4 linked regions of the Oreochromis niloticus genome follow. The protein of the gene in region 2 interacts with the protein of the main gene of each other region in a pairwise test. Links are inferred from orthologs where the notes say so. Each region holds a gene or a part of one and is shown on either strand. Other genes may lie near its edges. The genes, in order: srebf1, atxn1a, rcn1 and kctd15b.

What was found.
Region 1: the proteins of atxn1a (region 2) and srebf1 interact in binary tests that used the Homo sapiens proteins (3 or more experiments, as listed by UniProt). The link is inferred for Oreochromis niloticus from reciprocal best matches to the Homo sapiens genes ATXN1 and SREBF1.
Region 3: the proteins of atxn1a (region 2) and rcn1 interact in binary tests that used the Homo sapiens proteins (3 or more experiments, as listed by UniProt). The link is inferred for Oreochromis niloticus from reciprocal best matches to the Homo sapiens genes ATXN1 and RCN1.
Region 4: the proteins of atxn1a (region 2) and kctd15b interact in binary tests that used the Homo sapiens proteins (3 or more experiments, as listed by UniProt). The link is inferred for Oreochromis niloticus from reciprocal best matches to the Homo sapiens genes ATXN1 and KCTD15.

The regions. Positions count from the first base shown.
Region 1 is NC_031969.2:18,055,469-18,063,458, reverse strand, and holds the start of srebf1 (sterol regulatory element-binding protein 1), read left to right. Parts: upstream 1-4,985; 5' UTR 4,986-5,249; coding exon 5,250-5,355; intron 5,356-7,990. Other genes in the region: tom1l2a (TOM1-like protein 2), read left to right, coding at 432-491, 1,023-1,059, 1,187-1,341.
Region 2 is NC_031985.2:20,491,296-20,499,047, forward strand, and holds the start of atxn1a (ataxin-1a), read right to left. Parts: upstream 3,013-7,752; 5' UTR 2,750-3,012; intron 1-2,749. UniProt on the Homo sapiens protein: Chromatin-binding factor that repress Notch signaling in the absence of Notch intracellular domain by acting as a CBF1 corepressor. Binds to the HEY promoter and might assist, along with NCOR2, RBPJ-mediated repression. Binds RNA in vitro.
Region 3 is NC_031965.2:24,276,983-24,284,584, forward strand, and holds the start of rcn1 (reticulocalbin-1), read right to left. Parts: upstream 3,005-7,602; 5' UTR 2,697-3,004; coding exon 2,470-2,696; intron 420-2,469; coding exon 226-419; intron 104-225; coding exon 1-103. UniProt on the Homo sapiens protein: May regulate calcium-dependent activities in the endoplasmic reticulum lumen or post-ER compartment.
Region 4 is NC_031965.2:31,958,722-31,966,077, forward strand, and holds the start of kctd15b (BTB/POZ domain-containing protein kctd15), read right to left. Parts: upstream 3,020-7,356; 5' UTR 2,704-3,019; coding exon 2,692-2,703; intron 332-2,691; coding exon 156-331; intron 1-155. UniProt on the Homo sapiens protein: During embryonic development, it is involved in neural crest formation. Inhibits AP2 transcriptional activity by interaction with its activation domain.

The sequences.
Region 1 (7,990 bases), on a different chromosome or scaffold from region 2:
TCTCGACATTCCCTGTGCTTTCAGCCTTTCCCAACCAATCAATCTCTTAATCACGTTCAAGCGATTTGCTAATTAACTAATGATGCGGAATAATTAGCACGGCTGTGTGTGACATTAGTCGGCAGCTGTTAAGCCATGTCAGCAGTACAGAGTTAATGAGAACAATACACAGGCCGGGAAGTCCTCTTCTTATACAGAGGAGTGCTCGGCAGCAGTTCGTTGCACATGATAAAACAATAATGGCACAGAATCAAGAGAGGTTGAGTGTGTCTTTCAAGCATTTTTTTATTATTATTATTGTTTTTCTTTTTATCTTTACTCCTGAGCCTCTGGTGATTCTTGTTTTTGTGTGTGTGCGTGTGTTACGTTGTTTTTGTTGTCGTGTGGCTTTGTTGCTACCCCTCGTTGTTGTCCATGGCTTTGCTCCATAGATCCCAGTATCGCAGTCCTCTGTCATGGATGACATAGAGGAGTGGCTCTGTACTGACGTGGTGAGATTTTAATTTTTCATTTTTTTTTAACCTTAATTCATATTTTTGTTTTTCTACCCTCTCTTTCTCCCTCTTTTCCACCCTTAAAGCACTTTTCATCCAACCATTTCTTATAACTGCATACATTTGACCTTGGTTTTCTTTTTACTTAAAATCTTTACCTTAATCATTCACCTTAATCATTTCCAGCAATCACTTACATAACTGTTTGCCATGAGGTGAGACATATGTGGAAACAGTGCTAATGATAATTAACCTAAAGCAGCTGCAATGGTCTGCTTTAACTTGTGCATGTGGTGGTTGTGGTGGGGCTCTAGAAGGTTTCTCGTTGTGGAAAATGTGGGGAGGATGCATGACAGACGGATCCTTCATGAGCCACTCTGTTTGGAGTTTGTGGGAACTTTACAGGCAGCTGACTTGTGCCGCTTGTGTTGTTGATTTTACACTCACATTAATTAACTCCGTTCTTGATAGTTTTCTATAGAAATTTGTGTCTTATGTCATGTTTTTTCTTCTTCTTCTTCTTAATAGAAAGGTGATGCTGCTGAAGAAGGGGTAACTAGTGAAGGTATAGTCAGTTAATTCACACCTATGGGTGTGTTCTGTTAGCTCAAATGTGTGTGGGAATGATTGAGAGTCTTAACACTGTGACCCTCAGCTTCCATGTTTCTGACAAATCAATTTGTTTCTTTCAGAATTTGATAAGTTCCTGGAGGAGCGAGCTAAGGCTGCAGACACTCTGCCATCTCCCCCAGGACCTAACCCTGCTAACCTCTCCCACCCCGCCCGTGCCCCGAGTGGCTCCCATAAGAAGACTGAACGGACGGAAGATGCCCTCTTTGCCTTGTAGACTGTTCTCAGAGGACCTCGGTTTCTCTCCAGGGCATCTAAAGGTCTTGGCCCAAAATGACCCCACCCGCCACCCTCCAAAACAATCCTCCTAGTCCTATTTCATTGCTGACTGGCATTGGTGTAGCAAGTGATCTCCACCTCCTCGTTGTTATCTTGCCAGAGTGTCGCTCTAACCATCAGAGGTCCAACAAGTTTACTGCGCATTACCGCGTTATGTTTTACTGTATATGGATGTATTAATCTGTCAGTGTGGGATGTACTGCTCGCAGCCCTGCATCTCATTCCATAACATGCCACCAAAGGAGGACAACTTCACTTAACTGTCGTGTGGTTTAAAAATGTGACACATGACCGCGAGATTACTGGGAAATTTCTCTGAAGGTCTACTCACAGAGTCAGTATGGAAGCATTTAACTAGGAGTATATTGTGTTATTTTACTACATTTCAGCTAAATGCTTATTTATGCATTAATTGTTTTATTTTTTCTGTATTATATACTGATCGATCAGTGCATTTGTTAAGAGTTGTAGATTTCTAGTTATGCTTAATACTGAGATATGTGTGGCAGGGCAGCACCTCTTATTACCCAGTTTGCTTAAGGCACTGTAATGAACAGTTTCATGTTAGCAGGCTAATTTTGCAAACTAGGATTATAATATTAGCTAATCTCTTTAAAATGTGTATGCCAGCATTCCTCTAACCAAAGGGAATTAAGAATAATAAAAATCAAAAAATGTACTAGTTAGGATTCACTCTTATCTCGTATCTATTTCAGATAGCTAAGGGGAAGGAAGATGCCCATTGAAAAGCTACAAGAAGTTAATGTAGAAAAGTGCCGCAAACTGCAAACACTTTAAGCCATTCCAAAGAATATTGATGCTTTAATGACCAACTAGTTCTTCATTTTACCAATTGAAAAATAGTGACATTCACATGCTCAAAATAAGTTGCTGGATTGTCAAAATTTTCCTTCCCCCTCCACCGCCGCGTTAATGTCTGTGCACTTTGAAGCAAAAAAAAAAAAATCTGTATTTTGTCCTTTTGTGTTTACAAGATGCTTACTATTTTTCTAGGGGATGGGAAATGATCTTAAGAATGAGTTCATTTTGCACATAACTTTTCTAACTATGTAATTAGTGCGCTTGTTTGCCTAACAAGTGGATAGATGGACCATTGGACTGTTGGAAATTACAGAAAGATGCAACACAGAAATAAAGATTTAAATGTCAGCTTAGCACTGGCAACATAATCATCTACAAGACAAGTGTGCTGTGGTAAGAGATGTATTCACACAGGCAAATCTTCACATACTCCATAGTATTTAATCAATATACCTCAAAATACAGAAACTGTGGTTTCTGTAAAAAATCTATTGGCTCATAATAATATCAGGAACACTGAAAGGTTTAAGTATTATTTTGTTTTCCCCTTCTGTATTTTTATAATTCATGGTTAAAAAACAAAAAAGGGAAACGAACAACTGATGTTTTTGAGGCCGAGGTTGAAGCGTGCGGGAAGCAAGCATGATTTTACTTTCTTTCTGATTATGTGCAGTCAAACACATTACACTTTATTTCCTGTGCATTTTCAACCTGCTATGATTCATCTGCTCTCATTGGAGCTGTTGCCAAGCATTTCTATGACCGACTGATTTCAGCAAAGTTGCTCTGCCGAGAAAGGTTTTGTCTTTGATCTGAGGCAAAATAGAAAATCCGTCTTATTTGCAGCTCTTTTTCCAGTTCACTTTAGCACTGCTCTGCACTTCAAAAACATTTTCTTTTTCTCCTTTCAGTCCATTTAAGACCAAAAGCCTTGTTAATCAGAGGCAGCCCATTTGCACCTCAGTTGTAAAGCTTCTTGCTAACATAGATGCAAAGGTGACATTAAAAATGTATTTGTGTAATCAATGTATTTTAGATTAAAATAATAATAATAATAATGAGCTTTAATTTTCTTTCATGCTGTATGGTTACACTTGGTTTTGAGGGTTTATTATCATTGCCAGATAGCAGATATAAAAACATCTACCACGCAAGTTGAACAAGGACGATTACTAAAAATGTAACAGGAGATTCTTTAAAGGGAACTTTGACAGTTTTCTGTTTGTGTGTTCTGTATCTTTGCATCTGTAACAGAGTGTATTGTGTTAACTTGCTCTTATGAAGCTTAAGTCCTGGTTGCAACATGTATTCCTCTAAATTCTGGCTATCTTTAAAGTGGTAACTGAATGTCTTTAATACCCGCGAAGTGGGATATTTAAGCTTGTGTTTTGTGGACATGGAATTGAGGCTTGTTTTCTATCGGTGGGTGCTCCATGTCTCTCTGGCTGTGCCGTCTGCTGCCATTACTAATGGTCAGATTTGTATTTGACCTAATGCACGTATGTAACTGCCCAATAAAACACTAGCAGTGTGTGACCTCTACCTCATAACTGTTTGTGGTTATTTTACACTTAGGGGATCTGTGACTAGTCTCTCTTTTCTCATGCACATGCTGATGCAACCCAGGCTCAATCTTGTACTGTATTGGTCATTCATTGTGAAATGAGCCTTTCACCTTCTCGCATGTGTTTGTTTATGGATATTTGCACAACATAGATCCTTAAAAGAATCATTTTTTCCTTCCTTTACCTGAGGACCAAGACTAGACAACTTTACAAACTCCAGCAAACAAATGGACAAGACTTATTGTTACACACTTGACCACCAACCATGCTGGACTTTATATAATCTTACCCAACTTTACTGACAACTTACCAGTGCTACTCTAGGTCACTGACCTATTTTCCTACAATACCGTTGTGGGGTTCTACTTTTGTGTTACTATAACAGTGCGTTACACATAGACATTGTGAAACACCCACATTGCCTGTTTTTACGTTACTAATTATTATAGGAGAGAGAGAAAAAAATGTAATGTAAACCACCATTACGAAGAGTTGCAGGAACTGTTTTTGTTAAAATACATGTGCTCATTTTTTTATGTCCTTCTGGCTACATGTAGTTGTGCAGTTTATTTTCCTCCTGCTGTTCCTGCTTCCATCATTCCAGGAGCGAAACACATGATGTAATCGCTAGACCCATAGATGCAACGTCAGATCACCCCACTCTGATTCTGAGCTTCTCATTGGACGGTTTTACTGGTTCTACAGGAGGAGCCGCTAATTCGAGTCAAACAAGCTTGGCTGTCGCTAAGCGCACGCCCCACACGACTATGATTGGCTATTGGTGGCAAGCCCACAATAAACATGTCCATGCTGTATACAAAGAGAAAAAAAAATATTTATTTATAATAAACATTATAAAAGATATTCAGAACTGTATTAAGCTGCTCTGGAATCAGAACTTAACTCGTTTATGCTGTAGTTAGCTATTTTTTCATACCCATCAAATGTAACCATATAAATATTTTCTAGCCACGGCATCAGTTCTTCGATTACTGCAATTATTTGTTGTTTTTTGTACATTATCGGATTTTTGTGTGTAAATTGTGTTAGATCGTGGCCGTATACTCCACATGCCCTCACTCATTTACTCAAACAATCAAAACAAGCCTGAGAAACAGGGACGTGGGAATCTAGTTCAAACAAGGGTGATTGGCTGGCGCAACTGTCAATCATCATCGGTTGGATGGGTTTCTCCGGCTACCGCTGTAAGCACGTTAGTAGTGAATGAGCGTCGGTGTTTGGCTTGGTTTGACAAGTTTCCCAGGATGATGATGGGGCTAGTAGCGAGCAGTTAGTTGACACAAAAGTTACAAAAATAAGAAAAGTTGCAGCTCGCGTTGCGTGTGTGACGAAAGGACAGGGATCTTGGTCCTTTTGTCAAATGTAAGGACTCAGAAGTTTCCGATTTCTCCGACAGTCAGTCAAGTCTACACTGGAAAGCCCAGGCACGACAGTAAAGATGAACAGCCTGTCTTTTGACGATCATTCGTTGGATAATCTGGATCCAACACTGTCGCTTAACGACCCCAGTGATATTGACACGGCCCTCCTAAGCGACATTGATGGTAAGAAAATATAATGGCTGCTGCTGGCTTAAAACAGTTGTGTTTGCTAAAACCGGTAACACCGTACGTGTTATCATTCCTTTTCGTATCAATTCTTTAAGTGTTCTGCATGTAATAACCACACTAACAACATCACTTACAACGACATTCGATACAAAGACACCTTTAAAAAAATAAAAAAGCTTTTAAAAGCTGAGAGCTAGCTTTCATTATCCACTGTTAGCTACATGCTAACTATCGGTGAGCAGTTAGCCGGAGGTGATATTTGGGATGTTTTGTTAGTAATTTATAACGATGATTCTTGCAATATCAGAAGTCTTCTGTGTGTCTTACTGTGCAATAGAAAAATAGAAGCGCATTTCATGAGGCGAATATGTGAAGCTAACGTACAGCTAGCTTCGTGTGCGCCCCGCCCCCAGCGTGCTCCATAGACCGGGGTTACTGTCGTTCATTCCTCTTTTTTGGGTTCACGGAGCCTCACTTGACCGATTTGACAAATATAATGCATTTATGTATGCCAAATTAATCGGTTGAAAACTAATGTAACCATGTGCTCTGTGGACGACATTATTTTTTTCTCGCTAATATAGTGCTATCCACGTGCAGTTTTTTGCAAAAACAAACAGCATATATAGTCTGATTCATATATAAAATTCGTGCAACAATTTAAGCCTCCCATCGAAATAACAAGAGTATTTCGAGTAGTGTTAATATTTAGAGTTTTCTGGAAATTTTCCTAAATTGGCCAGTATGTGTTTTATGATAGGGGTCGACGTGTAAATAAGATAACACGCACTGCGTAAACAGTATTCATATCCTGCGGCCGTGCTCTCCATCTCCCTGACTTTGACCGACAGTAACCCTCTGTGACACTGCTCGATGGTAACCTCACACTCATTGCCACAGGCAGCTCTCCCTCTCTTTTCCTGTCTTGGGCTGATCGGCATAGCAAGTCTCCGAGATGCGCTCTGATTGGCCAAGAGCGATCACCTCATACACAACACTGCTTCACAAATCCAGGCTGCTGGTTTTTTTCTTTTTTGCACTGCAGACACAACATGAACTCAGAATCACTTAACAGATAAATTAAACGCGGTGAACTGTGCTCGTAAAATGCTGTAAAAATTATTTCAGTGTCTTATGTCTTTCAAGAGCACACTGCTTCCTAGAATTAAAAAATGATTAGTGAACACGTGCCATCTCACTTTGTTCATGTAAAGTTTTTTGTCAGTTTTAAATCTTTGTAATATAGCAAATCATCTGGAAAAGATACATATTAAAATGTTTTATATCTTTTAGATCATGCTAATGAAAACCTACAAGTCCATATGTGCAGAAGCACAAATTAAGATTAATAATTCATTAATAATATACCACTTGGATTCTTGGACCTACAGCTGCACGCACATGATGAATGGCTTGATAAACTGAAAGTGTGAAATGTACTGTACCCGGTATTTCTTGTTGTGTTTGGCAGTCTTTCTTGTTAAGTGTGTTTTTAAACTGCGTAAGACACCCTATCTCCTGCTTAGGATGTTTTAAAGTAGTTTTCTAGTAATTTATTGAGTGTTAATGGAAAATGTGATGAAACAAAACAAAATTTAGGTTTTAGCAATTTTAAACCGCTGTAGTCATAAGTACATGTGATGTACTACATTTACAGTCATGTGAAAAAGAATGGACTCTATAAAAGCAGAAGTTTTTTTTGGTTTGCAGTACACGGATTTGTGGAAGTCCAAATTCACCTCACAGTCAGAGAAACCTCAAAAAAACACATGAGCTATATAATCTACAGCACATTAAATTTTAACATTAATGACAGTAAAGTTAGAAAGAGACTGAACACAAATATGGGTTCAATTTTAAAAAAACACATGCAGGAGCAAAGTTGCAGCTAAACAAACCAGAACACTTTTAGAGCAATAATTCATAATGCACAACATCACACAGCATATCTGTATAAACACCTAATATCAACTGTTAAGCATAGCGATGGAGTAGTGATGACTTGGGGTTGTTTTTGCGGCCATAGGACTCGGGAACCCTGCATTGATTGAGTCGACCATGAACTCCTCTGTATTTCAAAGTATCCTAGAGTTAAGTGTGAGGCCATCTGTCCTATAGCTGATGCTTGGCCGAAATTGTGTCATGCAACAGGACAATGATCCCAAGCACAGCAGTAAATGTACAAGATTGTGACTGAAAAAGGAAACAGTCAAGGTCTTGCAGTGACCCAGTTGAGGTCCAGACATCAATGCGGTAAGAAAATGCCGCGGGGAGACTTTAAAAGAGCTGTGCATAAATGAATGCCTGCAAAGGTCTGAACTAAAGCAAACGCTGTTAAGAAGAGCGGGCCAAAATTCCACCACAGCGATGTGAGAGACTGATAAAGTCAAATGGAAAACAGTTACTTCAAGTTATTATTGCTGCTAAAGTTGGTTTGATAATATGATGACTCATTAGTTAAACGTATTTTTTTACAGGACTGCATAAAGCCCGCTAAAACCTTCTTTTTGCGACTTTGTTTGTTGTCATTTAGCATTTTTACCGAATACCAACACACACTTCAAGGGTTTGCTCCTTTCTATTTGAGCATCATATTGGCCTTATCCATTTTTATGCATTCCCCCTCTAC
Region 2 (7,752 bases):
GCTGCCACTCTACCTAAATCACTACAACAGCCTCTCCTTACCTCCCTATCTTCACTCTCTACCCTTTACATTAACACCTCCCTTCTGCTCAAGCATTCATAACGCATCTATCTCCCAGCCTGTTTTCACACCTGAACACCAGAGTCTGGAGAATCAGGTGAGCACACTGGCAGCAGTTGCTCATTTTCACAGGTAGCACAGAGCAGGAGACAGACCCGTTCATAAGCGTTCTTACCACCAGAAACATTCTGCGTGGTTCGGGCAAAGCTGCTGCCTGTGGAACGTGCAGGAGACGGGACAAAAGGCAACCAGTTGCTCGCGCTGCACGCTGTCAGCCATCATACAGCGGTGGATATTTGCGTGCTAAAAATGCACCGCGGTGGATTAACATCTATAAAGCTTCAGTCATGAACAGTTCCTGGACGCCTCTAGTCGACCTCGCTAGCAGAGAAATTTATTTCCATTAAAAAGACCTTTCCATGGCATCCCACAGGGATTAACACCGGATCCCAATCACTTCATTATCCACATCCTTCCCATCATTATACATGAATCCATCCCTTGTTAAAGATTTGAAGCTCAGCTGTGTGTTTCCGAGTACCTCTTGGATACGACCCCTTCCTCTCTTCTCCAACCTGCTGTATTTAATACCAGTCACACATAAAAAATACATAATGGTTTCAGTATGGTTAATAAAGACTTAATGGCCATGTTGTTAAGTGCAAATACAACAGCCAATCACAAGCCACCAACTCAATGCGTTGATATGCGTGCTTAAAAGGGTCTGACCGAATACCAGTACCTAAAAAAATGGCTGGCCAGTGTCGGTTATGTATTTTTTTACAGAAGAGAGACAAAAGTCAAACTAGTGAGCATTTTTTCTTCACACTTTTCCTGCTGTCTTTCTGAATAAATAAACAATCCGAATTATTTATTATTAAACATTAAAAGGTATTAAAAAGTAACTCCACACTGATCTCTGAATACTTTTCCACACCATGTACCACATGAAGGTGTTTCTAAATGTGTGTTTCACTGCACTGAAACAAATGTTGGAAGAGCTTGTATATGGGATTTATGGCAACCACGGGATCAGATTTCTTTCAGTACTTGGATAACAACAATCATGGGCAGTGCAGATAAAATCTGAAACATGTGTTTACAGGCAAGAGTCAAAGCAAGCAAGGAATTTAATTAATGGGTCACTCATACATTTGTGCTCGCATCCTCCACGGAGGACAGAAGTACTTGAACTAGCGACAGCACTAATAGATATGTCCAACACCATAAAAGTACTAACATCGGAGCCGACGGGCTGCACTGACTCTATAGGTTCACTCTGCAAGTGTTTGCTAACACACAGTGGCTGCAAGTGAGTGAATTACAAGAACCATGGAATAAAACAGAAAGTGTGTTTGGGGTTTTTTTTATTGAAAGCTGCAGATTCAAATTTGTTGGTGTTGTAATATTTTATATTTCTTTCAGTAACACGTTTAAAAAGTAGCAAAACAAGTCTTTTAGATAGAAAGCAAGTTTAACCACGATCACAGCTATCTGCTGAGATATCTGTGTGTTGAAAGCACTCTATGGGGTGTCCAGTCATTCATTGCTTAAGGCTACAGGACGGGCTTCAAAGATGAGAAATGACATAATCAACAAGTAATGCAAACCCACTTCTGTTTTTTCGTGTTTTTCCTATAAATTGCACAGACATCATCAGAAAAGAGGAACACTTAAGCATGCAGCTGGTGGAAAGAAGTGCAGCTTTTTTCTTTCTTTTTCTTTTTTTAATCTTGAGCATTCACTTTGTCAATCAGTCTGCTGCCATTAGGAATGCTCGTTAAAAAATTATAGTGCGAGTGAAAGCATTGGCTACCACTTGGGACGCATAGCCTACCCTGCTCTGAGGTGTAAACAGAGTAAAAATAGCTTGCTATCACAGGCTTCCCTACAGTCCCGTTATATAATGGTCCATGCTAGGATGAATGACATCACGGGTAGTCCTGCAATCACAAACCGTATGTCCTTTACAACCAGCTGACAATGTAAAACACTGTGTAGTATTACGTGCGCAACAATAAATGCTTCCTACTAATCGAAACATGCAAAACACCTGCGGTTACGCTTTTTTTTAAATTGTAGAAATCATGTGGACTGTGGTTAGTAGTTCGCCTCCTTTCGTGTGGAGAAAACACTTCCGCGATAGTGAAACGTAGATTTAAAAAAAATGTAACGCTTTCCCGTGACAGTCCCTGTCAGTAAGGCAAGAGTTCAGAAGAAGACGTATGCGGCCCGAAGCGACATTATTCGGACATGTCCGACAAAGAAATAGTCTGCAAAGAGGAAATGTTTTGAGCCGAGGTCGAGTGGCGCAGTTACTGGAAGTACAGCGCCTGCCCGACTCCCAACTCACCCGGCGGACGCGCTCCTCGCTCGGTCAGAATCCAGCCGAACCTCCGCCCCTCTTTCGTCCCATTTAAACAACACTTTGCGTTCACGTTCCCAAATGACAAGTATACCCACCCACAGCCCGCGTGGCCGTGTACTGTGTGGTCACTTAAAAATAGGTCAGAGTGCGAAGTAAACATTTTCTAAGGCTTTGAAGTAAACCAGAGCTTCAGCGCCACCCTTCCCAGTTCTTCCAGCCATTTTTTTTAATTTAGCCAGCTCCAAAAGAGAAGAGTGACAACGTGAAAGCGGTGACAGGTTGGCGAAAGCGGCTCTGTGGAAATAGTTTTGTGCGACTTACTGCGGGGTGTAGCGGGCTGCTGAGTTTGTGTCTCTCCTTGTTGCCAGGGCTCCCCTGCTCTGCTCCGGCGCTGACGGTGGAAAGCGTCTCCCCTCCTAATGATGTCTGCAGCGCTCGGCTAATAGCTCTCTGCCCCCACCTTCAGAGAGAGAGAGAGAGAGAGCGAGGGAGGGAGGGCGAGAGAGAAGTTCAAAACTGGAGCAGTTTGTAAACTACTCATGCAAAAATATGAGAGCTCGGAGCACAGAAAGCAGTCACAGAGATACAAGAGAGGTTCGCTGACAGTGCCAGAGTGTGGGAATACACAGTATTCCTTTATTGGCACGATTGTTTTACTCACAGTGGAGATTGGGCTGCTTTTTCAGGAGCAAATGCAAAAGCGCGCTGTGGGAGAGGAAGAATGGTTAATATTAATATTATTATTTCTTTTTAACTCAGCCTCACTCAAAAAGTGGCTTCTCAGCAGTGTAAACACTTTATCTACAATACAACCCTGCACAGCTCAACACTGAGTTTATATAACTCAAGTAAAATTCTGAGGCATTTATACTTAAAGCTTAAAATAAGGGGGTCTCGACAAATATGGATCTATTAATCAATACTTCCGTGTCAAAATGATCCCACACTGCTTCAATAATGTTGACTGATTGTCCTCCATTGTTTGTTTTTTCTAACCAGGTATGTATTTATTGCATTGGCAGTGTGTTTGGGATCACTGTCATGATGAGAAATGAAGCTGTTGCCAACCAGCTGATTTTCAAATGGTATTGCTTGGTGGAATAAAATCTGATGGCACTTTCCCTTCTCTCAGAATGACTCCTTGACAGCCTCCCGTCCACGGAGACCATTTCTGATGAGGCTTTAGTGAACAGTAAATGGATCAGCTGAAGGGCCCATTCCTTAAGGACAGACTGTTCATCTGCTGTAGATTGTTTTTAGGCCTGACACTTCTTCTTTTGTCCACCGCCTGCCCAGTTTCCTCAGATTTTTTTCAAGGACACAGTGCACACCATTTCAAGACATGCCAGATTTTCAGCAAATAGCTCTTCGAGGTGTAAAAATACTGTTTCCTGTCTGTCACACTTTGTTAGCTTAGGTATTTTTCATAGATTCAACAAAAGAAATGGGAACAAATTATGTGTTTTTCCAGCAGCCTGCTAGTAACAAAGTGCCTAGAGACAGAATTTAACGTTTAATTCATAGGTCAGTGTTAAGTGCGTACAAGGACTGAAAATGAGTAAAAACAAAAAAGCAGCCAGTATCTAATGTGGCTCATAACTTTTGCACAGCGCTGGCCAAAAACATTTTTACAAAGTCGTAGTGGCCTTGACCTTTTCCACCTAAAGCTAATCCTTTCATCCCTCAGTGCATGTGAACTTCTGTGCCAGACGTCCAGAGACACCGCCTTCACATAGAGAGGAAGGACAGATGGACAGCCAGAAAACAGGATGCCTCGTAGCATAGCTGTCACCAGCAAGGAGGCATAACGAGTCATAAAGTAGATCCACCTCCACTGGCTAAAATATCAAAAGGCTGCAGGTCACTGCTTCAACCATTTAAATCTAATAATGTCATATGTATTATGTAAAACATATGTAATTATAATGTGACACGTTGTGCACTTTTCCTGTGCTTTTGGTTAGTATATTGGTACATCTGTGTATTATGTAATCTAGTGTTACTAATTTGAATAGATGATATTTTTTATTAGCCCATGCAGGGGAACAAAAGTGTCACAGCAGCAAAACAAAGTACATAAAGTGTGATAAATGAAGAAGAGAACATAAAAGTTAATGAATATTATCTGAACACAAGCCACAAAGCATATTAGGAGTCTGAATGAATAAATATAACACGCAGCACGCCTGTGGATCCTGGATGCAATTTAGCAAAAACTCAAGATTCACTTCAGATATTTGTTCTTATTGTTTATGGTACGAGGTCAGTCCTGTTTTCAGTGTGACTTGCTGCAAAAAAACATGTCATCCTTGGATTTGACTGCACCGGGAAACTTCTGCTTTTTCTCAGAAGAGAAGAAGGTCAGGGTATGTTTTTTTTTTAAAGCCAGAGAGTTCAGGATCTGTTCAGCTGAAGGCAGTCACTGACAGTCAGCTGACAGTGACATGATGGAACGTCTCAGCTGCCGACAGCGACTGTTTTCACATACACACGCATAGCTACAAACATAAACACAATGATGGAGTGATGCTAGAAAACATGCTTATGAAAGATGTTTATGCACTCGTGTCCCGATTAACTCTAATTCACTTTAAGGGGGCTAAATTCAATTCGCTCTAGTTCAAAGTTAATTATTATCAGTTATAATCATGCGTAAAGCATGTGTCAAATAAGCACAAAAACTAAGCTGTGCCACTGAAATAAGCTATCAAGATAAAAGAAATAAACACCCGCTTAACCCTCTCCTCTTTTTTGTGTTTTTATTATCTTGACCTCTGTGACCTCTCCCAGATTTCCAATGTGACAACAAGTGCCTTTGCCTCTTCGTCAGAGGAGAATGCAACCTGACACTGCCCGAGAGCCGAAGGGTGCACGAGGCTGCGGAGTGACAGACGATCAGGGATCTGTCCCACTCCCTGCGAGTCACTCAATAAGTGGCCTATTGTCCAGCACTCTATTGTGCTCTTGTCACATGCATCCCAAACAAAGAGACAGAGAGGTAGGTTGCCCTGTGTGCTAGAGGGCTAGCATTACATTCATGAAGAGATGCGGCGAGTTGCTGAATGGACTTTGATATTTAAGTGTAGGCAGGGAATGAAGAGCTTCATTTAAAAAAAACTAAAAAAAACATTTAATATCCAGACCACATGTGTGCCATTTGATCCTGGAAGCCCTCGTAGTCCAAGTAGTGAGGGAAATAGTGCACTAACATGCAGAAGGCCATCAAAACTGTGGAAGTGATCTGCAACTTTGAGACATAAAGGAGACTTAAATACGTTGAGATTTGACTGATTGTTGTCATTACTACATCAGCCAGATGTGTGATATGTGCACTTTTGTGCTAACCTACCACCCATAATGCACCTCGTAGTTTCAGTTTCACGCCGTGTTGCTAAAATAGAACTTCCTATAATAACAAATGTGTAAGGCCAGAGTCAAGCGGAAGCAGTAAGTTGACCGCACGTTTCAAAATAGATCACCAGTTTAATAAAAATACTTCCTCAGTGTCTCTCGAGCTCACAGGCCTGCACATACGCAAGCATGTACTTGCACCTTCTTGTTCCCCTCTGCATGTACTCACAGGTTCACACCTACTCGCTCTTACAACGTGCCGATGTAATCTTTACATATAGGATGCTAAACATCTTCTGCAGACAGTTCAGCAGCCCTCTGTTTGACATTGCCTCCCTTTGAATGGTTTGCACCGTTCAGAGCACAACGTGACTCCATAGCAGTGTGTGTGTAGTGCAGGGCCATTGCGTGCTTGAGGAATAAATCAAAAACTACTCCCATGGGAGGAGCAGATTCTTCGAGGGTTGGGTTCCTCCCTAGAGATGTACCTGTGTTCTTTGTAGGAGGTGTGAACAGTATACACTCGGGTACAATGAAGTGTGCCAGGTGGGGCGTGTATGGAAACAGCCCTTGAACATAGAGAGTGACATCCTTAGTACCTGCATAGTAAATGAGTCATACATAAAAATAATAAGCTTTAACGTATTTCAGCTCCAAAACAGACAAAGTATGCACAAATAAGGGATTTGACAGTTTATCTGGCAGATAAATAAATAACACTCTGAGCTTAAAGCAGGCACTGAGGGAGATATATATAATTAATCATCACCAGTCTTTAAAGGCAGCTTTACAGCGATTTTCAAAGATTTTAATGGTCACGGACATTTCTTTTTTTGGACAGCAGAGAGTGACAGAGAAGCAGCGTGTCTGAAGTGCATGCTACTTTACACACTACAATCACCTATTGAGGGCTGCAGCTCTTCAGGCATCGTGGTATTGCATTTTCCTTATTTGTGTATGTGGACCTCTGCATCGTCGTGTCAGCTCTTCACATTCTCTGCAAAAAACCAATACAGACTTTTTTTTAGCAGAACAGCAGCGCTCCTCCTGTATGCTCTGAAAGCAGCTGTCACTTCAGATTTCAAGGCTGCGCTCTGTCCAAGTCCCCTCTCTGTGCACAGAGGGGAGGTGGTGTGTTTCATAGCTACTCACAGCTCCCCCCATTGTTCAAATGTGGAAGTGGTTATTGGTTTACAGTGTTTCCCTACATGCTGTCATGTCACATACTGCAGCATACAGTTGCGTAAATGCAGAATTATCCACAGCTTTGCTTGTAATTACACAAAATAAACACCTTTTAGACAATTTTGCTTTGTAACTAGTAAACTGGTTCCTGCATTTTTTCACATACATCCCACAATCCTGGTTAGGAGTGAGCTAAGATCCTCCTTCACAGTCACTTCCATTATTGCAATCATTTTTACATTACTTTAATGAAGTGTTGTGGAGTCTGGAAAATAATTATTTGATCCCCTGCTAAATTTCTAAGTTTGCTTACTTACAACAAAATGAACAGTCTCTAATCAACCAAAAATCGAGAAAAAAGACATGACATAAAAGGTTTGTCATTGAGTGAAAAAGTATTTGATCCACTACAACACTGCCAGAATTCTGGCTCCCACAGACTGACTATCAGTCAGTTACAGATACTCCCAATCTCAACCCATGACATGTATAAAGCAGGCTTGTCCACATTGTGGATTTCTTCCACTCGAACCTCTCCACCACCATGGAGAGGACCAAAGACCTGTTAAAGGACATCAGGGAGAAGATATCACACCTAGACAAGGCTTGAACGGGCTACAAGACCATCAGCAAGAAGCTTGTTGAGAAGGTGACGACTGTTGGTGCGATTATTCAGAGATGTAAGAAGTATAAAATGAATCAGTCAACGTTGATTTGGAGCTCCATGCAAGATCTCGCTTCATGGGATGGTCATGAGAAAGGTGGTGTGTTAGGCCAAAAATGCAGCT
Region 3 (7,602 bases), on a different chromosome or scaffold from region 2:
AGGTCCCTGTTCAGATCAGCTGCTTTAAACCTCCTCTCATCACGAGGGAGCATCTTCTTGAAGCTGAACTGGTCCGTGGCATCTTCAAATTCTTCCGGGTTGGCTAAGAGGGTGAAAAAAAAAACATGACTAAAAAATGAATCGGGTTTAATAGCCATGTAATACTTTAGTACTAAAAGAACAAAACAAAAATACATCATGTGTCTTGAACTAGTGAGCCCATACCGAGGTAGTATCCATATGTGGCTTGTTTGTACTCATCCCAGGAAATCTTATTGTCCTTATTCAGGTCATAATCAGTCCACACCTTGGCCACATTCTCATATACATAACGCTTCTGTACGCGCTTTATCCAAGCCTTGAGTTCAGCTGTGGTGATGTAGCCATCTGCATCGCTGTCTATTCGGTCCACAATTTTTCTGTTGGGCAGGTGCAAAGAGAGATATTAGTGATACATCAACTAAATCTTATAGGCATACATAGGCTACATACAGTGCTGTGCAAAAGTATTGACTCCGCCCCTCATTTCTTTATATTTTGGGTGAAAATATTGATTTATTGAAATGTGCAAAAAATTTGCTGAAATTCAATATAGAAGGCAAAAACTGAGGTTTTACAATTTAACAAGTTTAAAAGTCAGTATTTTGTATGGCAGTGTTTATTCTTCTTTAAGCAGGCTTCAGGGCCAATTCTCCAGGCTTCTTGAAGAACAGTCAAAGCTCTTATTTGGATGTTGGCTGCTTTTTGTAATGTTCTCTGTCAAGATGATCTCACACAGCTTCAGTAGTGTTGAAGTCCGGGCTCTGGGGAGACCAGTCCATGACTGATAATGTTAATGTGTGTTTTTCAGTCCAGGTATGCTTTAACCGCATTGGCATTGTGTTTGGGATCATTGCTATACTGAAAAATGAAGTCTTGCTGATAAGATGCTTTTCAGATGGTATTAGATGGTGGATCAAAATCTAATGGTATTTTTCTGCATCAGTAATTCTGTTAAATTTGACCAGATCCCCCAAACCACCGGCTGAAATGCAAACCCAAACCTTGACAAGTGCAGATTTTACTTATTATTTTGTTTTATTTGAATATTTTTTCCTTTCTGTGTTGTAAAGTGACAGTACGTAAAGTTGATAGAGCCTCCACTGTTTTACAGATGGCTGTAGATACTTAATGTTACACCTTTCTCCTGACCTCTTCTTCACACACACAACAATTTAAACCCAAAATTTCAAATTTGGATCTCTCTGCTTTTTCTCCCCATTTAATCTTCTTCACAGCAACCCTTCCACTGAGACCACTTCTGATGAGGCTTTCAGTGAACAACAGATGGAGCAACTAAAGAGAGATTTGTCTCTCTGGTCCTGCATCAAGTCTTCGGTTGATTTTTGTCCTTTTTCTTAAGAATATAACTTTCAGATACTGTTCATCTGCTGTAATTAGTCCTTTATAGACCTGCTACTTCCTTTTTATTGTTCACCAACTGTCCACTTCCTGCTTTTTAACGCTTGAATGATTCATGTTAGTGTTAAGTGATTTAAGAAACAAAAAATAAAAATGAAAATGAAGGAATGGACTAAAAATTAGGGGGGAAAACAAAATAGATGTCCAAAGAAAAACTTTGAAAGACTTTCAGACTAGATAACTACCGCTTAAAACCAATTAAATGTAAGAAGGAAAGCATAAAAGTAAAATATAGAGTGACTGAAGACTTTAGCAATGAGATACTGATTAATGACAGGCTGGATTAATAATTAATAAATAAATAATTTCCTACAAGTAATGTGGATTCATAGAGACGATTTCTGAGGGAGGGGCAGGCAAACCCAGTTTAGAAGGCTAAAAACTGCAGTGCATCTGTGGTGTATTCTTAGACCTGGGCTGCCACGTTGTGATATTACAGGGGTCCTCCCTCTTTCAAGACAACAAGCAGGAGTTTTCTGGACTAACTTGCGTCACATGGTGCCAACTTGTCACTGCAGCAGTGGCAGAAGAAAAAAAAACGTTTAATACTCGAAGAATCCTGCAAACAGAACCACGTGGCACACTGAGTACACTGCGTACACTGCAGTTTTGTACAGAATACCTACGTGCAGAACTTCGGCGATTAAACTTTCCTTAAACTTCACCCCTATAAATGAATCTTTAATAGTCTGCAGAAATCTTAATTACAAATACTCATTAAGTGTACAGTGTGTGCAAACAGTGTGGGTGCCATAATAAAGCAGGAGTGCTTTCACAGGCACATGTTCCCATGTTTTTAAATGTTTAATGTTCTTAGTCTGAACAGTTACACGCAACGGGCTTCAGCGGCAGAGTGTGTGATTTTAAAAAACAAACAAACAAACAAACAAACAAACAAACACAAAAGCTCCAACCTGCCCTTCGAAATCCCACCAAGCCTGTCACTAACTTCACTTTCAGATACCAAAAATCAGCTTATGTGGCAGAGTGCTGGTAGCATTTCCTTACCCGAGCCTGTCCTTGCTCTCTTCAGGGGTGAGCTGATCAAATGTTTTGGCCTCCTCTTTGCCCAGAAAGGCCTCATGGTCATACTGGAAGCTCTTATTGTCTTCGTGGGCTTGCCTGCTTAGCTCTGGCTCATGATGAACTCTCTCTTTTCTCAGCGTCGGCTTGGTCTGCGCCACAGTGGCGCAGAGGAGCACAGCGCACACGAAGCTGAAGCTGAAGCCGGCCATCAGTCTGTGTTCAACCTGACTTCTCTCAGAGGGCACAGCGATCTCCAAAACGGGCCTACAACACCACAACACACAATGATCAAGCGGCTGTGTAGCTCCTTTCACTGCTGGACCGCTAAACGCCGACTTTTTGTCCTGTCTTCAGCGGCGGAGCGCAACAATGTTGCAGCAATGTTCAAACACCCACGAAACGCAACCTGCGCCCGCAAACAGGTCCTCCATGAACACCTACGGTCCTCACAGTTTTAGGCAATCCTGTCCCTTATCCCAATGAAAGGGATGCAACCAAACAGGGATTTCCTGCCGCCTTACGTACAGCCATTCACAGGCTCCGTTTCATGCAGGCCCCAGCCTCAACCACTGCCAGAATCCCCCCCATTGGTCCACGGGATGTCGGTAACACGAGAGGGATTCGGGCGCCACGTTGCAAGCTGACGAACGACCAGAGCAGGAGAGTCAACGTGGGTCAGTGAGCAACCAGTGAGAACGGGAGTAACACACACAGTCTTAGGGAACTGTTTAAGTGTTTTGTGCCAACTTGTAATAAGGTGCATTTGAAATGAAAAGGCTGTGTGCACAGCTACGCGGATGTACAGGGATATAAATAAACCATTGCTGTCTAAAAAAATCATCAGTCACAAGTATGCAGCTCGCTGCTACAGTGTAAAACGTTTAAGGTAAAACATGCTGGAACTGAGTTCAGTGTTTGATGTTTGTTTGAGGGTAAAGTTCCTTGAATCCGTAAAATATACTATAGTAGTTTACGAGTACTGCTTACTGTATTTAGATGGATTATTCTATATGTTAGCTGCTATAGAACTGAATGAATAACTGTTGAATCATGACACAGTTAAAGTCTTGTTAAGATAACAGCTGTGGAATATCTTTGAATGTGTGTGTGTGTGTGTGTGTGTGTTAGTGTGTCTGAGAGTGCTGGAGAAAATGAAGGAAGGGAGGGTGACTAGTGGGAATGTTATGTACTGGCCAGGCACTATATTTAGTAATAAAAAGACAACATAGCCTATCAGATGTTGAAACTGGGACATTTAAAAAAATGCTGATTCTAACATGCTTTCAGAAACATATTTCTAAAGACTTAAGCATCTGGAAGCTGAGGAGGCCAATCGCTGTAGTTTGAGCTGCTTGCTTTTGTTACATTTTGTATTTCATAATCTCCTAAACGTTTTCAATGGGTGAATGACAGGCAGGCCGGTTCAGCATCCACTGTCTTTTACTCTTGTAATCATGTGCAGAACGTGGTTTGGCAAGGTGTTGCCTGAAAAAGACAAAGCCTGGCAGCATATGTTGTTCCAAAACCTGATTTATTGTTCATCAGTGATAATCCCTTCATAGATGTGTGTGTCACTCATGCCATGTGCACTAATGTATCCCCTTAATGTCCTTGATTTTTAAACTGCTTTCTGGAAACGAGTTGGATGATTAGCTGAGCGGATGTAGCCTCTATTATTTCCTGTGTTGGGTAGAGAAGATATGTATGTATGTATGTATGTACACTACAAGTCAAAAGTTTGGACACGCCTTGTGATTTATTTGTTTTTCATTATTTTCACAGCTATTTACATTGTAGATTCTCACTGAAGGCATTAAAACTATTAATGAACACATATGGAATTATGTAGTAGTAAACAAAAAATTGTGAAGTAACTAAAGACCTGTTTTATATTTTACATTCTTCAAAATAGCCACCCTTTGCTTTGATTACTGCTTTTCACACTCTTGGCGTTCTCACGATGAGCTTCATGAGGTCGTCACTTGAAATGGTTTTCCAACAGTCTTGAAGGAGTTCTCAGAGATGCTGAGCAATTGTTGGCCCTATTGCCTTGACTCTGCGGTCCATCTCATCCCAAACCATCTCAATTGGGTTTAGGTCAGGTGACTGTGGAGGCCAGGCCATCTGGTGCAGCACTGGGATACTGGCCCCAAAGAAATGCTTTGGGGGCTAACTCTCCTTCTTGGTTAAATAGCCCTTACACTGCCTGGAGGTATGTTTGGGGTCAAATGCAAACTGGATGGGATGGCATGTCGCTGCAGGATGCTGTGGTAGCCATGCTGGTTCAGTGTGCCTTCAGTTTTGAATAAATCCCCAACAGTGTCACCAGCGAAGCATCCCCACACCATCACACCTCCTCCACCATGCTTCACGGTGGGAACCATGCACATAGAGACCATCCGATCACCTTTTCTGCGTCGCACAAAGACACGGCGGGTGGAACCAAAGATCTCAAATTTGGACTCATGAGACCAAAGTACAGATTTCTACTGTAATGTCCGTACTTGTGTTTCTTGGCCCAAACAAATCTTTTCTGCTTGCTGCTTTTCCTTAGTAGTGGCTTCTTAGCAGCTATTTGACCATAAAAGGCCTGATTCGCATGATCTCCTCTGAACAGTTGATGTAGAGATGTGTCTGCTACTGGAACTCTGTGTGGCATTTATCTGGGCTCTAATCTGAGGTGCTGTTAACTTGCGAATTCTGAGGCTGGTGACTCAGATGAATTTATCCTCAGCAGCGGAGGTGACTCCTTCCTTTCCAGGGGTGGTCCTCATGTGAGCCAGTTTTGTCGTAGTGCTTGATGGTTTTTGTGACTACACTTCAAAGTTTTAGCAATTTTCTGGACTGACTGACCTTCAGTTCTCAAAGTAATGATGGACTGTCGTTTCTCTTTACTTAGCTGATTGGTTCTCGCCATAATATGAATTTTAACAGTTGTCAAATAGTGTTAAATACTAATACTCCTAGAGTATTTAAAAGTAGAATGGGAAGGAGAGCCTTCAGTTTTCAGGCCCCTCTTTCAGGCTGCCGGGTTATTCCCATGATGCATTTAGTTTTTCCTTTGCAGTCACCTTTCTCACTCACTATGTGTTAACAGACCTCTCTGCATTGAATCATACTTGTTATTAATCTCTGTCTCTCTTCCACAGCATGTCTTTTATCCTGTCTTGCTTCTCTCACCCCAACCGGTCGCAGCAGATGGCCCCGCCCCTCCCTGAGCCTGGTTCTGCCGGAGGTTTCTTCCTGTTAAAAGGGAGTTTTTCCTTCCCACTGTCGCCAAAGTGCTTGCTCATAGGGGGTCATATGATTGTTGGGTTTTTCTCTGTATCTATTATTGTAGGATCTACTGTACAATATAAAGCGCCTTGAGGCGACCGTTGTTGTGATTTGGCGCTATATAAATAAAATTGAATTCAATTGAATTCAAATAGGTTTGGCAGCTGTGTACCAACCTGACTTCTGCACAACACAACTTTCCGAAGACTGTTATATTGTATAACATATCGCATATGTCACATATTGTATATCATACCACATATCAGCCAGTGGTGTTGGAGATTTTGTCAAATCAATGGATTTGACATCCATCCATCCATGGATAGCCCTCCCCAGAGCCTGGACCTCAACATTATTGAGGCACTGTGGGATCATCTTGACCGAGAAGGGAACAAAAGGCAGCCAACATCCAAAGATGAGCTTTGAGTGTCCTTCAAGAAGCCTGGAGAACTATTAATGAAGACTACTTCAACAAATGACAAGAAAGCTTCTGTATGAGAGCCCAGGATATGTTGAAGAACACTCTGTTATAAAGAAGTGTGAGGCTGATTCAAGACTTTTGCACAGCACTGTAGATTTTAGTATTTACTTAAATTAGTTTAGGTTTTAGTCATTTTAATTAAAGTAGTTTTTAAGTTAATTTTTTTCAGTTTAAGAAATAAAGAGCATGGGTTTTGGATCATAAACAATATCTGAGAATGTGGAAAGTTAAAAGATTGCTTCAACTACAGATAACTTCATAAGTCAATGCGAGAGTGTGAAGTCATCCAGTTTAGTTAAGTCCTTGCGATATAATGTTTCGAGATAGAGGAAGAGTTGGTGTAGGGAGGGGTGTGTGATCACATCCACGTGAAGAAAACGAAAAGAATCACATTACTGAGCCCCATCTCAACATGAGGTAATATGGAAGAACAGACTCTGTACCCTGGAAACAACTTGCTGACACTGCCATGCCTAATCCTCCTTTGTGGGCAGGAGAAACATGTATTTTGCCATTCATCATTAGCATAATAAGCCAGCACATGGCACTTTGCTGTTTTGCATAAACAGTACACCCCAGTTTATGATTATAAAGAGGCCCTGGGGCCAACTAGCCTCTTTATTCAATTAATGAATAGTTAATGTATTTAAATTAGTCCTGCCTGGTCAATTTGAATCAGTGTGCTGTGCAGACATGAAGAAATACAAATGTGTTTTCCCAAAGAGATGCATTTCCTAAAGATACATATGGATATACAAGAATACAGGATTTTTTATCTTGGTGATGATGATGGTCTTAGCAGGATTGATAGTTGGACCCTTTCATTAACTTTAGATCACACAACAGGGGCAGATTTTTAGGTGTTACCTGTATGCCGAAGACTATACTCTCAAACAATGGTAGCATGGCTGAACAACAGCGGGCATTAACATGTTGGAAGGAGAAAGTGGATGGCAAGAGTGGCTTTCAACATGAATATTTCACCAAGGAATAGAACAGGGAGGGGGCTGCAGCTACGGGCGTGTTCAGTTAACCATGAGATTGCACACACTGCAGAATGCATTTGGTTAATGTAATTAAGAAAACCCTATGGTGGGAGACACAGAGCATTAGTGTCCAGAAAATTCAGTTCAGTTATGGCCTCTTTTTGCCCTGCGCTTACAGACACACACTGCATTTATCAGATTTTTGATCTTCTTTTGGTGCGACAACAGCTTTGTTAGTTTGATTAAGCAACAGCAATTAATCAGAGCATCTGAATAATTAAAGGCTTATAAATAACTGAGATCGTGCACAATGGAAGTGAGTTTGACAGTAAATATAATTGTAGCTCTTTTTTTTAAAATCGCTGTTTACTG
Region 4 (7,356 bases), on a different chromosome or scaffold from region 2:
TGTCACATTTTAAACAAAAGCAGCAAGAGACAGATTAAACTACTCTTTAGTTTGCTCATATTTCTTAAAGTTGATTTAAAAAAATAAAAAATAGATAAGCTATGAATTAATACATTAAGATCAGCAGTGATGCTAGAGGCAGGGACTGATCTTACCTTGAATCTGGGTACTTGGTGAGAGTTGCCAGGCTGCTAGTGTACATGTGTCCCCCGACATCAATGTGCACCGGGGCGTTCGCCTTGGTCAGCTGAGCCGGCAGAGGGATCCCCTGAGCGGCCAGAGGAGAGACCGGGGACCGGGTCAGAGACAGCCTTGACATGCTTCTTCCCTCCTGAAAGCAAGTATAGAGAAAAGCCATGGGAATAAAGGTAAAGAAGAAATAAAAAAAATCAGCAGAGTGCTCCTAAACAGGGAAGTAGATAGTATCCTTTCTGAATGGTATCAGATCACTTCCATGTCTGTCTGGTCGCATATTTAGCCTGGAAATTATTGCCACCGCTCTAATTAAGTATGTTTGCATCTTTTCATGCAGCACCGCAGGCGAGGATAGGAGGATGCTTATTAGAATCGGGGTGAGAGAGAGAGAGAGAGAGAGAGAGAGAGAGAGAGAGAGAGAGACAGAAGGAGATAGACAGATAGAAAAAGAGAGGGGGAGAGGGAGACAGGGTGAGGGGGGAGAGAGAGGAATGCTAGGTGTCAGCCTCCAGGGGAATAAAATAAACTGCTGCTGCAATATTCTAATTAAAGGTCGCCTTATGTGTTAGACGTGATGCGCCCAGACACACCAACCACCAATCTAAGAGTAAGGAAAGCTCGACGGGGAGGGAGCTTTCAACTTTTCTTCTAACACGCACACGCATCCATTCAGTACACAAAAAGATTAAGAGTGTCATGTGTCCGCAGATAGTTTGAGGCACACGGGCCTCATGTACTGCACAAAAACGCACCAGATTTCAGTCGAAACCAGGAGAAGTATCATGTTACTTGCAGGCCAAACTATTGTGTATCTTATTCCGTACTTGGTGTAGCTCAGTGTCGTTGATTAACCATTAAAATAATCTTACAAGTAAAGTACATGGCACTAGAGCCTACTGTATACAGACTGTGGGTGCACATATTTGGGACTGGGGCTTACTGGGAGCACGCCGGAGCACTCCGAGATCAGTGCAGAGCTGAATTAGATTATCTGATGAAATGTTTGACAAAATATTTTCAATTCGATACGCCGTCATTTGATTCCGCACTGCTTCAGGAGGAGCGGAGGAGGCGTTTATATCCAACCTACCTACTGGTGCGTAATTTGTTTGCCAACAGCGGCAGGTGAACCACAAAACCTCAGTATGGCCACATTTCAGTGTTACTATTATCTGTTACGAAGCATATTGTACATCACAGTGGCTGAGTTTATTATTTTTTTTTTAAAGGAAAAGTAAACAAAGATATACTGTTCTTAGTTCATTTTCTTTAATAATCACAAAATAAAGGTCACCGTTTCTCCACTTTATCACCACTAGTCCGTGCCTACAGGCTCTGGTTGAAATACAGACCTTCCATTTGAGGAAAAATCTAAAACAATAATAGGAGCTTCATAGTACACATGTGTGTGTTTAAACAGACTGATATAATAAAATCCCAGCTTTCACTAAATTATGTGAACTGATCAGTTTTCTGTTGCACATATGGGCTGTTGCACTGTCATTACTGATAGACGGGAGACCTTTTGCCAAAGTCCAGATCATCCCCGCGGCTCTGAGAGAAATGCCAGTGGGCACACTATGAGACAGGAGACTTTTTTATATATAGACCTCCTCACAGCAGTATCGTATTCGTTTAATGCGATTACAAGAAAACGGGATTACATTTCAAAACCCAGGAACAGAGAAAAAACTTATAGAGACTTAAGAAGTTTAGGGCACATACACAAAGACACACACGGACACCCATCGGTCTGTCCCATCGCGGGTATCTTCCTCGTTCCTACTTATCCACCATTTAAGCAATAAATTCCCTACACTGATATACAATGAAGAACAAATGTGGAAAATAAATATAGAAATCTTCTTACTATCCCGATCACATTCTCATTGATTTCTGTTGTTCCCAACTCCCTTGTTCCCTATCACATACACACAAACAGTGAGTGACACACGTAGACACACAACACATAAATTCCTTCACAAAATCACAGCAGCTACAGAGACTCAACTTTCCTGCTTTGAATTGCTTTCTTGCTGCTTCCCTTCGCTGACCCCTGCTCAGACATACTGCTGTCGAGCTCACACTTAATGACAGCGACATAAACCTGACGACTGATCTTTAAAACAACCACGAAAAAGGACACAGAAATCTCTGAAAAAGAAACGGTGCGATACAACACTCCCTCCGCAGGAACACCACAAGCCCGTGCTCTGCCTTTAATCTACCAAATGCTCAACATGGCGTCTTATTGCTGCTGTACAATTAAAAGCATAATCCCGACACGTGTAATACACGACCCGATTGATAAAACACACACGTGTTAACTATAGGGTACAGTCTGGCAGAAAAGACAGAAAATACACTTTGGTCGAGCAGTAGCCCTATGCAGGACTCTCCAGCACAGTTCAACTGTCCTTCCCGAAAACTGTACAGCCTAAGCCTACACTGTGCGTAAAAAACATTGGATTCTGTAATATTAAATTGTCACCCTACCGTTTCAAACATTGTAGGGAGTCCGGAGGAAATCCGTGCCGGCGGTCAGTCCCAGCTGCTGTCCGCGTAACCCCCAAAAATTTTCAAATATTTTCTCCAAATGCCCCCGAGTTTGTCACCGAACTACACCGCCGTCCAGTTCCAATACCTATACTGCCGCACGGAAAAGCCAAGTATTTTTTCTGTATCCCACACAAAACTGCTTTTAAAAGACGCTAGGTTGTGGCCAGGATCGACTGCAAAGAGTCTCTGTGGCTTTAAAGGCTCAATTGCAAGGCTGGCTCGACCTGTCCTCACCAAGCTTCTTTGTACCAAAGCGCACAGGAAGCGTCCTTACCTTGAACATAGATGAGATGATCTCCTTCCCCTTCTCTGCTCTTATTTGGATACGCGTAAAATGTGCGCTCTTATTGGAATCCTGCTTCGTATTTCGGCTTCTTGTCTGCCTTTTTGCCTAAATGAAACTGCCCCTGTGGTTTGTTATGAGAAGAAGAAAGCCAATAATCCTTCTCTAAATAACAGAGCGGAGCTAAAAAAGAAAAATCTTGCTCCGGGCTGCCCAAGCGCCTCTGGGCCAGGGATTAGGCTACAATTAGCTCAACTACACTCTCTCACCCAGGCAATTTTCTCAAGGAAGAAAACGTGATACCCTCTATTCCCGAAATTATGACTACATAGATATAATAACTTATCTTATTTTTTCCGGCAAAAAGTAGACCGATCCCCTTAACGGTGTGAAGTTGTGATTTCGAGGGGGTAGGAAACCTAACAGGCAACTGTCTGTCGCTCAATAGATTTAGAGCAGCAAAAAGCAGATTTTAATCATTGTCATTTCGTCTGATGTAATAGTTCCCCAGGCTGTCCAGCTAGTAGGATTACATTTCCATCTCCATCTCCAAGCTAAATTTAAAGTTTAAAGCGGGCGGGCTGCCATAGTCCTTTACTCAGGCAACATATAATAAAGACGCAATAACTTGTTGATAAAGTCTCAGCAGGAAAAAATATGTTGAAAATGAAGCGATATCCTTGAACCAATATCTTTCATGCCGTGATTTTTCCCCCGTGTTCCCGCTCTCTATTCCTCTCCCTCTCTCTCTTGCCTTAATGTCTGGAGTTGTAACGCCAAATTTCCTGCAGGCCATTAAAATCAAATGACGTCTATGGACATGCATGCATGCTGCTGCAGAAAGCGCCCTCACAACCTGCCTGCAGCCAAATGCGCCATTTCAATTATAGCGCAGGGCTTAGATGGAGATATCTGCCCAGAACACCCCCCTCTCTACTCAACAATGAAAGGAGGCAGCCTCCAGACTTTTGGAAAATAAGATTGTGCCTGATTATTGTTATTTTTCAACAGAGAAAGACACAATGCAAGTGATGAAGCGCTAAAGTGTTGCGCCACTTCAGCACAAAGTAAAAGGGGGAAGAAGGAGTCAAGCAGGTGCTCACGCCAAGGAAACTATTATTTATTTATTTGCATGTTTGTTTATTTGCGGGTAAATAACTGTGAATAATTGATGCAACATCGAGCCCAGTAATTACTCTGTACCAGAATCGTGAGAGGGGTGTAATATTCGTTTCTTGATATTTGGCGCCAACCAGTGTAGGAACTTATTATTGGTCCACAGGAAATACATCAATTCACTCACTATTTTGGAGCCTCGTTTATCCCGAATAGTATTAACATTCTTTTTAAGCACATAGATTTCCAAAGCAATATCACTATGATACTCTAACATTTTCTTATCTTATATATATATATATATATATATATATATATATATATATATATATATATATATATATATGTGTGTGTGTGTGTGTGTGTGTGTGTGTGTGTGTGTATAACAAAGCGAGAGAGAGAGAGACAGAGACAGATTTATAGAAAATCGGCATAAAATAACGGATATTTAAATATAAAATTAAAAAGTGCTGGTGATATTTGACAGCAAGCTGATGGATGTGTGAGAATGCGCCTCTCCTTGAAGCAAGTGAAGTCTTTATAATTAGAGAGACCTCAGCGTGCCTCAAGCGCTCCCTTCTTCCCCTCTGGCACAGATTTGTTGCTTCCAGAGGTACAGACTGGAGGGAAAGCGGGATTTTTTTTCTCATTAAAGGAAACAAGCCCGGAGTTAGTTCAATTACATGAAGTATGCAGGGATGTTGTAAATTTAAAGATTTAAATAGCTTACAAAGTGGCCCCGGGCCCCATCAGTTAATTTCCTTAATTTATGGATTTTATCGGTGTCTATGTGGAAGGGAAGAAGTAGGTCATCTTGAGGATTTGCATGCAGCTTTGAGATTTCCCAAATCTAAACATCTGTCCTCCTGACCAGCACCTCAGCAAGTGAGAAGACAGACAGGTTTCCATTTCTATTTTGCTAACCGTCCAAAAAACTGTCCCTACGATTAATTTTTTTTTCTTCGTTTCCAGGGTTAAAAAATGTAGATCTGATTGTACTATTTGACCCAGGTAACGGGATTATAGATGTTTGGTCTCCCTGATGCAGGCACAGAGAGAGATAACAGCTCTGTTCTAGTTTTCTTTAAAGGATTATTCCACATAATTTCTCCATTATTTTAAATGTTTACTTATGTAAAACTACAAAATGAACATAGATTTTTGCTCAAATCTGAGTCAAGATGTTTATGCTGCAACGTGAAGCGTTCAACTGCATACATCAGTCAAAATTTCAAAGTCTCCTTCAGACATATGTTAATGAAGTATATGAATTAATGCATGACCCCGAGAAGAATAACTTTGCCTCTAGGTTCAAATGCAAGGTGCTATTAGTTATGTTGCCTAAAGTGGCACAGAGGACAATGCTGTGCCTTTCTCCAGCTTTATCACAAGAGGATTATATATGATTTTTAAAGCTTTTTCTACTATATATTAATCACAGCATCAACAGTGTATTGTATGCTTTATGCCTCTGAGGGATAAATTGTACTATTTTTTTTATTAAAAACAATTTATTCCACCTTCTTTTTTGTGGTACAGACACATGCTTACCTTTTTTTTTTAACATTTATTTTTTGCTGCAAGCAGGTCAGATATCTGACACCAATGAATGAGCGCATGCTGGTATTTTTTTTTTTTAATCTGGAGGATATACTTATTACTCAAATGAAAGATGGAACATGGCACCATCTGCTGGTTAGGTGTAACACTGTGAACAAAAAACCCTTTTCAATGAATACTCTGCTGCATACTGATGAGCTTAACTATTATTAAATCCTTTATTTAAACATGCTGTCTCATTGAGATCAAGACATCGTTTTCAACAGAAACCTGTGTATAAAAAACATATTCAATTATGACATCAACTTTTTTCTTTTAATCCAGCCTCCCCCCCAAAAACATAGGGTTGGATTTGATACTAGCATTGGGGTCAGAGGATCTCAGAGGATTAAAAAAAGCATGTACAAGGGATCTTACTGTGGGATTTGCAAATTTTGGTATTGATCTAAAATCAAGCAAATACAGGGTCAGTATTGCCGATTCTGATACTTTTAAGCTATAAAGGCAGCTTATCAAGGGGAGAGCCACGTGTCATGATTCATAAGATGAATCATCAATTTGCAAATTCAGAACACGCTTGAATGACCACTAATTCAAATTGATTTTTTACTTTCCCCAATACTTATTTAACACAGAACACAACTTTCACCTTTTATGGATTTTAAAGCTGGGTTTTTTGGATACCTGGAATGTAAATGTGCCCGTCACTAAATCACTTTGGATCATCTTCTGTTGTTCAAATGTGCTATAAGCTACAAATCAAACAGATGTGACTGGAACACATCTATTTGATTTATAGCTCCTATTTGACATATAACTTTGATTTAAAGTTCAGACATTTTTCATAGTGCATGTTTGAGGTAAAAACAAATAAATAAACAGAATTCAGCGGGCAATAAACAAATAAAGTATCTATCCTAACTTGTCAGTATCAATTCAATACCAATGCCAGTGTTGGTATTAATACTTTCAATATCTGGGTCTATCCAGCCACCTCTAGTTTTTGCATAAACATAAATTTTACCTTTGAAAAATGTTCAAATAAAGCCAGAGAATGAAGCTTCATAGTCTTCTGTAGCTCAATCCATTTGTAGGTAGCAAAGTAATGAAAAAATTCCTTGAAGACGTTTCACCTCTCATCCAAGAAGTTTCTACAGAAGCTCCTCGGATGAGAGGTGAAACATCTTCAAGGAAACTTACAGAAGTCCAGAGGCTTTTCTTTCCAAGCTCCTTAGACTACGATGACCTGGATGACTGAGAACCATCACAGACGTAATGAAAAATAGTTTTTCCAGGTTCACTGTGAATAACAGGTAATGTTAGCACATTCTGTGACCTGAAATTGCATGTAACCGAGCAATTCCACAGTAGAGCTTTGTAAATAAACACCACACACTGCCACTTTTTTCTGTTTCCTAAGGTTGACCATCCTACTTCTTCATAGAAGAGTAAGAAAGGCCTACATCAATTTATCATTGGTAAATTACAATGCACTGTGATGCAAGAATCAAGATGCTTCAAGGTGGATGAAGAAACATCAATATAAACAATATCACCATAAGAAATATAAATATCATTTTCTTGATTGGTGTTTCAAAAGGGCTAATGAACTGTTCACTGATACATTTCGATGATCGCATGCG